Xenopus tropicalis: one gene and its partners. The protein of the gene in region 2 interacts with the protein of the main gene of each other region in a pairwise test. Links are inferred from orthologs where the notes say so. Each region holds a gene or a part of one and is shown on either strand. Other genes may lie near its edges.

Region 1 (4,329 bases), on a different chromosome or scaffold from region 2:
CAACAGCAGATCCACAGGAACCAAGGGTTGCAATAACCTCCCATACTGATACAGAGGCTCTCGCTGAACTCAATAGGCCAGACTGCAGCTGAAGCCCAAGGAAAAGAGGTGCATCTGGGGGTCTGTACCAGGCAAGTAGGAATAAAGGGTCTTAGTAACCTGCAGCAATAGGGTCTTTCTACTCTACCTGTGCCCTGTGGTGTCTTGTGGGGGGAATCAGCACTATGGGGGGGTCCCCAACGCTGGGGGGTAAAGCCATATGAGCAGTGAGCCCTAATTCCCATTGAGACTGAGGGTCGCCTGTACGTACTGGGCCGGTGCAAATCCAAGAAGATAAATGATATTTTTGATGCTCAGAGATGAAATGAGATTTTCTGACAATTACTTGGGATGAATGAGCCGGTCCCGGGGCTAATTAAGGAAATGTAATAAGTAAATCAATGGTTTATTGTCAGCTCTAATGGGCACCACAAGTACCCCCCCCCCACCCTGATTTACTGGCACCCCATTGTCTTACTGCCGGCACAGTAATGTCACTCACTTCCACATGGCCTTCATTGTGCTCTGTACACTGGTTGCTAAGGCCACTGCATCTGGCAACCACTGTCCATTCTTGTGTCTACATCTGCTATTCAGAATGCTTGGGAACTGGTAACTATACCAGCTTAGTATGGCAGCATAGGGATTCCCCTGTACTAAGTACAATTCAGCAGGAACAGCCCCCTAAGTTTGCTCATAGCCTGTACAGAGAGATACCATAAAACTATGGCACATAGGGATTCCCCTGTACTAAGCACAATTCAGCAGGAACAGCCCCCTAAGTTTGCCCATAGCCTGTACAGAGAGATACCATAAAACTATGGCACATAGGGATTCCCCTGTTCTAAGCACAATTCAGCAGGAACAGCCCCCTAAGTTTGCCCATAGCCTGTACAGAGAGATACCATAAAACTATGGCACATAGGGATTCCCCTGTACTAAGCACAATTCAGCAGGAACAGCCCCCTAAGTTTGCCCATAGCCTGTACAGAGAGATACTATAAAACTATGGCACATAGGGATTCCCCTGTTCTAAGCACAATTCAGCAGGAACAGCCCCCTAAGGTTGATTTAACACCCTGTACATACACAAGTATTTGCACTGATAAAAAGAGTCCGTTCATTAAAATACTCCCCTGAGAGTGTAACAAATGGGGAAACTACTGAAGTGCTGAGAATCCCCAGTCTGATGTACCCCTATTGCTGTAGCACAGGGAGGAGTCACACAACAACAACACTGGGGGCAATAAATATGGTGCTGACTTATTATAGGAAAGGCGGCAGCAGCATCACAAGGGAGTCACTGGGTCTCATAATTAAAGGCCAAGGGCACAAAAAGCAATAAAAAGTGCCCCATGGGGCAAACACTGCTTCTGTGAGATGTTTCTGTATTGCAGTATGGCACCCCAACGTGTGTCACATGGGGCCGAGTTAACCCCTTCCACTCAATCAGAACAGCAGGGGAGGGACAGAGACTGGCCCAGGGTCTCAGAGACAGATCAAGATTTGCCTGAGAGTAATTATAACAGTAACAATACTCCAGCTTGGGAGTTACTCCTGAACTACAGCTCCCATCACCCCTTTCCCATGCAGGCAGTCAGCTGGGAGTAGGGAATGAGTGACAGGGCTTTAGGGGGATGCTGGGAGTAGGGAATGAGAGGTAAGTAAGTCAGTAGGGGATGCTGGGAGTAGGGAATGAGAGGTAAGTAAGTCAGTAGGGGATGCTGGGAGTAGGGAATGAGAGGTAAGTAAGTCAGTAGGGGATGCTGGGTGTAGGGAATGAGAGGTAAGTAAGTCAGTAGGGGATGCTGGGTGTAGGGAATGAGAGGTAAGTAAGTCAGTAGGGGATGCTGGGTGTAGGGAATGAGAGGTGGGTAAGTCAGTAGGGGATGCTGGTGTAGGAATGAGAGGTGGGTAAGTCAGTAGGGGATGCTGGTAAGTCAGTAGGGGATGCTGGGTAAGTCAGTAGGGGATGCTGGGTAAGTCAGTAGGGGATGCTGGGTAAGTCAGTAGGGGATGCTGGGTAAGTCAGTAGGGGATGCTGGGTAAGTCAGTAGGGGATGCTGGGTAAGTCAGTAGGGGATGCTGGGTAAGTCAGTAGGGGATGCTGGGTAAGTCAGTAGGGGATGCTGGGTAAGTCAGTAGGGGATGCTGGGTAAGTCAGTAGGGGATGCTGGGTAAGTCAGTAGGGGATGCTGGGTAAGTCAGTAGGGGATGCTGGGTAAGTCAGTAGAGGATGCTGGGTAAGTCAGTAGGGGATGCTGGGTAAGTCAGTAGGGGATGCTGGGTAAGTCAGTAGGGGATGCTGGGTAAGTCAGTAGGGGATGCTGGGTAAGTCAGTAGGGGAATGCTGGGTAAGTCAGTAGGGGATGCTGGGTAAGTCAGTAGGGGATGCTGGGTAAGTCAGTAGGGGATGCTGGGTAAGTCACGTAGGGGGATGCTGGGTAACGTCATAGTAGGGGATGCTGGGCAAGTCAGTAGGGGATGCTGGGCAAGTCAGTAGGGGATGCTGGGTAGTCAGTCAGGGATGCTGGGTAAGTCAGTTGGGGATGCTGGGTAAGTCAGTAGGGGATGCTGGGTAAAGGGTGGCATGTCAGTAGGGGATGCTGGGTAAGTCAGTAGAGGATGCTGGGTAAGTCAGTAGAGGATGCTGGGTAAGTCAGTAGAGGATGCTGGGAGTAGGGGACTAGTTCCATTACACGGCTGTGGGGAGAAGCCTATGGACCGGCTGAAGTGAGAGTGAAGATATAAGGGGGTGCCGGTAGAAGCACAAGACAAACGCCGCCCCCCCCCGCCCCACTCACCTCCTGGTCTCCCTTCGCCGCTCCCGGTCCCTCTCTTGCTCCCAGCTCCCCGGGCGCGGCTCCTCCTCCCCCAACTTCCTGCAACCGCTACGGGTCTCGGGCTGGGACATAATTACCAAGCGCGGTACGCTAATGGGCGTGGCTTTGTGTGGCGCCAACGTCCCGCCTCCTCCGGCGCATGCGCACCGCTGTATTCTACTTTCCCTCAACTTGTGTGTGGCTTCCGGTGTTGTGGGACACGGGTAGGGTTGCCAGGTTAGCGGTTTTCCCGCCAAATTGGGCTACTAATTTAATGCCCTGGCGGGTTTCCAAAGTACAACCCCCCAAAGGTGCAGGTTTGGGCTATTTTTTGGAGCCTTAGCGGGTTTGTAGTTTTGAAACTAGCTAACGTTTTTCCCTCCCTAGTGTGCCTGTCCCACTGCATGCTGGGTAATGTAGTTTGTATCTAACAATTAGCCTACAGCAAGGATTTATATAAAACTACAATACCCAGCATGCAATTGGACATAGGCTCAACCTGTCTGTTCTGCAACCTGCTCCCTGCTCTATAGGGAATGTGATTGTACTGTTACTTTCTACTGGGATGTGGGGCAGTTCTACCCCCTGCTCTATAGGGAATGTGATTGTACTGTTACTTTCTACTGGGATGTGGGGCAGTTCTACCCCCTGCTCCCTGCTCTATAGGGTATGTGATTGTACTGTTACTTTCTACTGGGATGTGGGGGTAGTTCTGCAGTTTGTCATTAAGCTATAACTCTCAGGGTATCTCAGGGGCTGCTGGGAGTTGTAGTTCAATGTACCCATATATATATATATCATATCTGGGGTTAATGGAACATTCTGAATCCATTTCTGTAGTGACTTCCCAGCTGGACTGGGCACAGAGGGAATTACCAGCCATCCCAGTAACTGGGCAGTGATTATACGCTTTAATAAGGCAGGTTTCCCCATATATACTTGTATTTTTTTAGAATTTTTTTCATTGCGTATATTGGGCTATTTTTGGGCTACTTACAAAGTGGCTTTTGGCTAGTTTTGGGCTGGTTTTAGAACTGACTTTGGCTAGTTTGGAAAAATAAATCTGGCAACCCTGGACATGGGATATAAGCGGGGGGTTATGGGTATCAGCGATTGCAACCGATCCGAGCTCATGTGGGTGATAATGATTCATTCTTGAAACATTATGAGAGGAATTATACTTAAAAACACATGCATACAAAAACTGCCTAATTTTTCTGAATGCAGATAATAAGCTCTGTATAAACAAAGCCCCCCTTCCCTAAGCTGCTGCTCATTATACAGAGGTTTTGTCTATGGGCTGGTCATTTCTTTTATTTCCTACATCTCTGCTGATGGGGATCTCTTACTTAATCAACAGGCGTTTGTGTTGTACAAGGGGGTGGAGAAAAAAAATTCCTCTAACTAAAGGGGAACTAACGCTTTAGGAATAGTCATTTAATAGAGCAATTTCATTGGCTCACCTTTG
Region 2 (3,650 bases):
AATTTTAAAAGCCATAACTGCTATAGAATACTTATACACAGTAAAGAGTGTAAACATTTGTAGATATTCACCCACTTCACCAAAAATGTAAAAAATCCTGCACTATCTTTGACACTATTCTCCAACCTATTTTATTTAATGAACAAATAGTTGCCATGTGTGAGCTGGGTTTTTTTTTTTTACAGTCTTCTATAGCTATAAATCTATTTGTAATTTAACCCTGTAAAGATATTCCAGTGTTTTCCATAAAGCAGAACTTCATTTTGTTTTGGTAATTTCAGGTATTTGCAGTTTCCAAAGAACTGGTGCCCAGAGTAATGGCAAGGATTGTAGAAGCAGTAGGTGATGAACTGAGCCGGTTAATGCAGTGTGTGTCCTCCTTCAGCAGAAATGGGGCTTTGCAGGTATATCAGTGCTATATCAGTTCTTCTTTAATAATAAAATTAGTTTGCATCTTTATCAAATCATATAGCTCCATTCATATACAATATGTATGTTCCTAATGTTTTTTGTCATCATTGGCCAGTATTCCTAGTTAAAGCTGAATTATCCCAAGAGGTTTTTCTAGAACATGGTTTCAGTTTTTTAAAAACAAACCTCATAGAGGTGGGGGCAATATTTTATAATCTGTATAGTATGCTTCTCTATTTGTGAAAAGCATATTGTACGTTGCTTGTAGGCTCTTCGGTAGTCATGTGCAGGTTCAAAGAAAATTGATCTGCATCAGCCCATACCCACCTGCTCCCATCCCATGCCAGACCTATTTTTAGACTCTTCCATGACCCACCTATCTCTGACTTCATGAAGGGCAGACACATGAATAGGGGTTGCAGGAGGTGGAAGTGGAGCATACTAAGGTCTGGGGGGGTGGGAAGAAGGAATAGTTCTTCCCAAACTCGCCCACCACCTGCAAAGAAAGTGTGTAGAATCAGCCCCAACCCATTCAGCCTAGGGTAAAATTGCTCATCACTACTCTTCAGAGCAGGGACCATATTCAAACAGTGTATTGCAACACCTAGATATTTTGACTTTATTCTTATTGTTTAAAGTATATATTTTACCTATAGCTCTGTTTACGCTCCCTCCTTGTAAAGCAGTGTGTACCACAGTGGTGCAATATAAATATATAATCAAAATATGAACATCTCAAAATGAATCTGGCCATGTTATAAAAGTATAAACATATATAATTGTAGTCCGAGCACAATCGTTGACAGCAAACAGGATTTTCTTTAGAGCCCCAACACTGCATAGTGTGTTAGTAATAAATAAATGCCTGGAAACTTAATTAGCAAAAATGAAGTATGCTTTCCTGTTGAAATCTGTTTGGATTAAAGAAAATTACAGTTAGATGCATTGTTAAGTGCGTCATTGACTAAACAAGAAGAGTAATTTCTAATGGGATCTATGCAGAAAAAATTTACCTGCACCCACCTACAACCCAGTTGCACTTGTAGGGTGCTATAAGCCTCTCACAGCCCAATCCACTGTGCGAATGTCCATGTTCAACACTAACCATTTGGGCAACCACTAAAATATTTTATCCTATTGGTCGCGTGTTGCCATATTGCTTGGTACATTTTAATTAAGAATAGCTAAAAATCAATAAATTGCTTTTAGCCTGTTTGTGTGTTCATTGATTTTGTGGCACCATTATTAGTGGCATTACAGAGGGTGAGAAATCGTATAAAATGAATACACATTAATTGTTTTTATATCTGTCACTTTTTTGATTTATTTGTAGGCGAGACTTGAGCTTTATGCTCTGAGAGATGCTATTGCTATCTACCTGACAAATGACAGCAAGTAAGTTTTTTTCCTTTATTAAATTACTAAATCATGTAAGTAATGACAGGGGATCCTAACTTTTATTTGTTCGTCTGTATTTAAAAAATAATACCAGTATGCCAATAAGTAGAAGAGCTGCTGATTGTTATCTTTGGAAATGAATCCTGTTCCTTAGGCAAAGCCAAAGCATTTATTCCCATCTACTATTTCCTACTTTTTCTCCTACCCTCTCCTCCCTGCTCTGTATCCATGCTCTCAGCCCCTCCCACACACTTTACCGCAATGTCTTTGCTCTCTACACCCCTCCAGTTTTGATTGTATAGTGTAAATTGGAATTATTGGCCAGCATGTCGGTCTGAGTTATGTGAATCTTTTCTTGTGAAATTTTCAATAAAAAACATAAAAACACAATGTCTCAATATTCTTTTAACCTCGTTCCCACTCCTTGATGTTCATGCTCTCACCTTTGTACCTTGACCCTGCATGCCTTCCATCCCATCCCATCTTCTCCAATGTCGATGTTTTCCCTCTCCTACATGCATGACTCTCCTCCCAACTCCTTGCCCAAGTTAATCATTTTCTTTCAATATTGCAGCATGAATATTTTAGCTGTGTCCATAGGCCTTCAGGTCTTCATAGGCCACTATTTTTCACAATTGTATGAACAAATTTTAGAGGATAAAATCAGTAGTATCCATACCTGACACTTATAGGGAGAAGAAAAGGCATAATCACAGGGGTGGCAATTTGTTAAGCACATTCCACAGGGCCAAAGTAATAAAAGTAAAAATGTTCATTAATGTAGAATTAAATGATAAATAAACAGTTTTTTTCTAAACTTAATGCTTAATGTCTCCGTCCTTTCTCCATTTGATTTGCATCAGGATTAAGGATTTAAATTGGCTGGTTCTTGTACAAAAATCCACCTTTGAAAATAAAGGTGTTCAAGCTCAAACCAGTCAAGCCATTTGGGCATAGTGATACATTATTCTCCATTTCTGTTTTCCATTTCAGAGAAGAAGCTAGAAAATGGGGTTCTTCAATGGAGAACTAAACCCTGATTTGGTGTTTTTCTGCAGTTTGTTCTCTTAAGACAATAAACCTTGTATCTGTGTCTTATGCATTAATAAATAAATGTGTGTGTGTCTCTCAATGCTATGTGCACCAATAAATTATGATTATAAAGAATTATTTGAAGAGAATAGAAAGACACACAACAAACTGTATTGCTCTGCTGTGTGTAATATGGACCCATTTCTATTTACAGATCCAGCTTCAAACATGCCGTGGAAGCCCTGCCGCAGCTGCCAAGTGGAAGTGATAAGAAGTGAGTCAAACACATATAAACCTTATTGGCTCCAGTGCCTCCCAAGTAAATGGAACAAATGAACATTTGAGACATGCATTTTGTATAGCCCTTGACTGAAAAGGATTAAAAAAATGTTGCTGCCAGTGAAAAATTGTGTAAAAAAAAATGGTGAAAAAATGTGCATATCCCTAATTTAGAATATATTGTAATTATATGGTCTTGGGTGGTTGCAGAATTGCTATTGTGCGGCAACCTTAGCACACTGTATAATCCCTTTCCTTCTTCAGGACCACGTCTGGCTTCTAGCTTGCATCCAGAATTTGTATAAAACCCAGAAAATGCATGTAAGCACAACTGGATTGTATGGGTTTTACCCCATTAATTGGAAAAACTAGTGCAATGCATTGCCATGGAGTCCCCTATTCAGGAACTATGGCCCAACCCATGCTACTTCAGGGTTGCACCACATCTGCAGTCTAACATGGGATTTTATTTGTGTTTACATAATTGCAAACCCATTTGGTTAATAAAAGCTCAGCTCAACCAGTTGATT
Region 3 (4,301 bases), on a different chromosome or scaffold from region 2:
GTGGCAAACCCTGGTGGTGATATATGAACCACTGCCTTGGAATGCTAAAGAGAGTAATTAGAACTAGAAGCAGCGAGAGTGGACGTTAAAACACCCCATATGCACCATTAGCCTACAAGCTGATCACTATGTTGCTCAGTATATTAGGAATTGTGTTGTAGCATTACCTCTCTCAACCCAGCAGTAAGCTGCAATGTTTATATGCTCTTTAATAAAAAAGAAGCCTATGTGCATAATAATGCTGTGCTCACTTTTATCCAGAAATCAGCACATGGTAAAAGTAAAATACTATCACAAACATAGTATATTCTGGATACAGTATGTTCTATATAGTGCAATAGCAATGTTTCTCATACCTGTAGCACACAGGAAGCAGTTTTTCTTTTTCTTTCCTGCCTTGCACACATTTACAATACTCAGCAGCCGTTCATCATTAGGAGTAAAAATATCCCTTTGCAGAGCGTGCTTGATGGCTGTCATTTTTATCCAATTCTTATTTCATATCATAGATATAAATCTGTAAAACAGCAAATAAAGATATGTAAGACCAAGATTTAGCTCATAATAACAACATTTCAATATGTCTGGCATCTCTTTACGTTTAACAAAAGATAAATATCTCATGGATAAAAATCAGGATGTGACATATGTTGCATAATGATAAGCATATTAAATGGGGAGTTAAAATATATTTAGATTACACAAAAAGTTAAAAAAAAATTAAATATCACAAGCGGTTCAAAAACAGTAAAAATAAATAAGATATAAGAAGAAGAAGAGTTTGAGACAGCATACAGGTACCAGGCGCTGGTGGATTACTAGATGGATAAAGGTGGCAAAATGGCCAACGAATCAGTAGGTGCTATTATGAGAACTATATTTTATATAGGGATTCACTCAACCATTTAAAATTTTATTCTTGAACCAACAACCATCTCAGTGCATTGTGCCCGAGTCTGAGCTTTCAGAAGGAGCCAGCGCTACACATTAGATTAGCTAACCAATACTTCCAATCCTTTCTCCTATACAGCTAACCAATACTTCCAATCCTTTCTCCTATACAGCTAACCAATACTACCAATCCTTTCTCCTATACAGCTAACCAATACTTCCAATCCTTTCTCCTATACAGCTAACCAATACTACCAATCCTTTCTCCTATACAGCTAACCAATACAACCAATCCTTTCTCCTATACAGCTAACCAATACAACCAATCCTTTCTCCTATACAGCTAACCAATACAACCAATCCTTTCTCCTATACAGCTAACCAATACAACCAATCCTTTCTCCTATACAGCTAACCAATACTACCAATCCTTTCTCCTATACAGCTAACCAATACTACCAATCCTTTCTCCTATACAGCTAACCAATACAACCAATCCTTTCTCCTATACAGCTAACCAATACAACCAATCCTTTCTCCTATACAGCTAACCAATACAACCAATCCTTTCTCCTATACAGCTAACCAATACTACCAATCCTTTCTCCTATACAGCGAACCAATACAACCAATCCTTTCTCCTATACAGATAACCAATACAACCAATCCTTTCTCCTATACAGCTAACCAATACAACCAATCCTTTCTCCTATACAGCTAACCAATACAACCAATCCTTTCTCCTATACAGCTAACCAATACAACCAATCCTTTCTCCTATACAGCTAACCAATACTTCCAATCCTTTCTCCTATACAGCTAACCAATACTACCAATCCTTTCTCCTATACAGCTAACCAATACTACCAATCCTTTCTCCTATACAGCTAACCAATACAACCAATCCTTTCTCCTATACAGCTAACCAATACAACCAATCCTTTCTCCTATACAGCTAACCAATACTACCAATCCTTTCTCCTATACAGCTAACCAATACAACCAATCCTTTCTCCTATACAGCTAACCAATACAACCAATCCTTTCTCCTATACAGCTAACCAATACTTCCAATCCTTTCTCCTATACAGCTAACCAATACTACCAATCCTTTCTCCTATACAGCTAACCAATACTACCAATCCTTTCTCCTATACAGCTAACCAATACAACCAATCCTTTCTCCTATACAGCTAACCAATACTACCAATCCATTCTCCTATACAGCTAACCAATACAACCAATCCTTTCTCCTATACAGCTAACCAATACTACCAATCCTTTCTCCTATACAGCTAACCAATACAAACAATCCTTTCTCCTATACAGCTAACCAATACAACCAATCCTTTCTCCTATACAGCTAACCAATACTACCAATCCTTTCTCCTATACAGCTAACCAATACAACCAATCCTTTCTCCTATACAGCTAACCAATACAACCAATACTTTCTCCTATACAGCTAACCAATACTACCCAGAAACAGAGCTCACTCTATATATGGAGATCGGGAAGACTGGTGTGCAATTTCTAGCAGCCTCCTTAGGGCCCTGCTGGGTTTGGCCCCACAGGAGCTATTTTGGTAGGGCCCTGCTGGGTTTGGCCCCACAGGAGCTATTTTGGTAGGGCCCTGCTGGGTTTGGCCCCACAGGAGCTATTTTGATACAGACAGGGTGACACAGAGCAGGGCTTCTACAGGCGGCAGCAGCAGCAGCACCTCTGGGATTAAATGTGTGGGTCCTTGCAGGGCCGCTATCGGGGGTTGCTAGAGCGCCTGCATGTTCTTTCTCCTACACAGCTTTCATACTGCCCAACAGTCCCGCTAAGGCAGCCCGCACTGCCATTTCGCTACTTACAGCTGCAGGATCCCAGCCTCCTGTCACACAGGAAATCCCGCCACAAGTCTCATCACGCGAGATTAGCGTCACGACTGCACGTAAAGCGCAGAGGCGCGTCACGGAGCTGCTTTGTGGGAGTGGCGAGCTGGCCTAACTAAGGTTTGTACAGTCAGAAGCTGCTGGTAACTCGCGATAGCACCCATCTAAATCTGTTTTGTTTATGCTCGTCCTACTTTTGTTACAGAATAAAAAAAAAATCTTTTGTGTTGTGTCTCGCCACGGCCTTCACTTTCACCCCCACAGCTCCCAATGTACTTACAAGTCGTGTATATTTTCGTTTCTCTGGAAGCTTTTTATCTGATCCAAATCAGTTTCCCTTTAAACCACAAACTCCTGGCTGTCAATGAGATACTCATAAATTATACTTATAAATGCAACTAACTTTACAGTATCAACAGGTTTCAGCCATGTATTTATTCTGTATCTTGATGTGTTGAACTGTTTGGCTCTGCCTGCCCTTTGCTTGATTGTTTCCTATGTTCTAGAACCCATACCTTGTTTGCTCTGGCCACCAAAGTACTGGCAATAGCAGATTTACCAGCAGGGCCCCTACCATGTAAGCTTTTATAAGTATGACATCCTGACAGTATGTATGTATATCTTTATTTATAAAGCGCTACTTATGTACACAGTGCTGCACAGTAGAATACGATTATTAAAGGAGAAGGAAAGGCTAAGTCACTTGGGGGTGCTAAAATGTTAGGCACCCCCAAGTGACTTAAATCGCTTACCTCGTACCCCGGGCTGGTGCCGCTGTTAGGAGAAAACAGCACCAGCCCGGGGTAGCTGTAGTGATGCGCTTCCTCCTTCCGGCTTCGTTTCTCTAAGACTAACACAATAGGCGCATGCGCAGTTGAGTGAAAAGCCGACTTCTCTGTTAAAGTTCCACTATTCACTCTACTGCGCGCGAGCGAAGACGGAAGGAGGAATCGCTACAGGTGCTGTTCTCTCTGAACAGGGGCACCAGCCCGGGGTAAAAGGTATGCGATTCAAGTCACTTGGGGGTGCCTTACATTTTGGCACCCCCAAGTGACTTTGCCTTTCCTTCTCCTTTAAGATAATAATAGATAAATACAAAGTATAACAATAAATACACATAAATACAAGATAAATACAGTTGCAATAAGTTAAGAGTCAAAGACACAAGAGGATGGAGGTCCCTGCCCCCTAGAGCTTACAATCTATATTGTAATACAGTATTCCATGGAATCATTTAGGGTAAACCCCTCATCAACAAGGAGGATGGTAAACCTTGCCACCCTTGTGATAGCCACACCCCACTTGGAGAGTGCTGAAAAGAATAGAGAAGGCACTGAGGGACTGGGGAGCTAGCAATATGCTAATGACCCCCAGGCATGTAAGGGGTTAACTCACCTGATCCCCCCTTCCCGCGCAGAGCAGCGTATTAGAAAAGGGTCCCCTCCTGTTTCCTGCCCCCGCCTCTTCCGCCATGCTCCACCACGCTGCGCTCCCGCTCCCACACTAACAAGGAGAGGAGCTGCATCTCCC

Evidence for each region.
Region 1: the proteins of exoc2 (region 2) and ralb interact in a two-hybrid assay, tested with the Homo sapiens proteins (2 studies listed by BioGRID). The link is inferred for Xenopus tropicalis from reciprocal best matches to the Homo sapiens genes EXOC2 and RALB.
Region 3: the proteins of exoc2 (region 2) and exoc1 interact in binary tests that used the Homo sapiens proteins (3 or more experiments, as listed by UniProt). The link is inferred for Xenopus tropicalis from reciprocal best matches to the Homo sapiens genes EXOC2 and EXOC1.

The regions. Positions count from the first base shown.
Region 1 is NC_030685.2:89,161,015-89,165,343, forward strand, and holds the start of ralb (v-ral simian leukemia viral oncogene homolog B), read right to left. Parts: upstream 2,910-4,329; 5' UTR 2,844-2,909; intron 1-2,843. UniProt on the Homo sapiens protein: Multifunctional GTPase involved in a variety of cellular processes including gene expression, cell migration, cell proliferation, oncogenic transformation and membrane trafficking.
Region 2 is NC_030682.2:87,183,494-87,187,143, forward strand, and holds part of exoc2 (exocyst complex component 2), read left to right. Parts: intron 1-281; coding exon 282-404; intron 405-1,744; coding exon 1,745-1,806; intron 1,807-3,055; coding exon 3,056-3,115; intron 3,116-3,650. UniProt on the Homo sapiens protein: Component of the exocyst complex involved in the docking of exocytic vesicles with fusion sites on the plasma membrane.
Region 3 is NC_030677.2:40,651,911-40,656,211, reverse strand, and holds the start of exoc1 (exocyst complex component 1), read right to left. Parts: upstream 2,844-4,301; 5' UTR 2,751-2,843; intron 2,706-2,750; exon of another isoform or gene 2,612-2,705; intron 518-2,611; 5' UTR 481-517; coding exon 357-480; intron 1-356.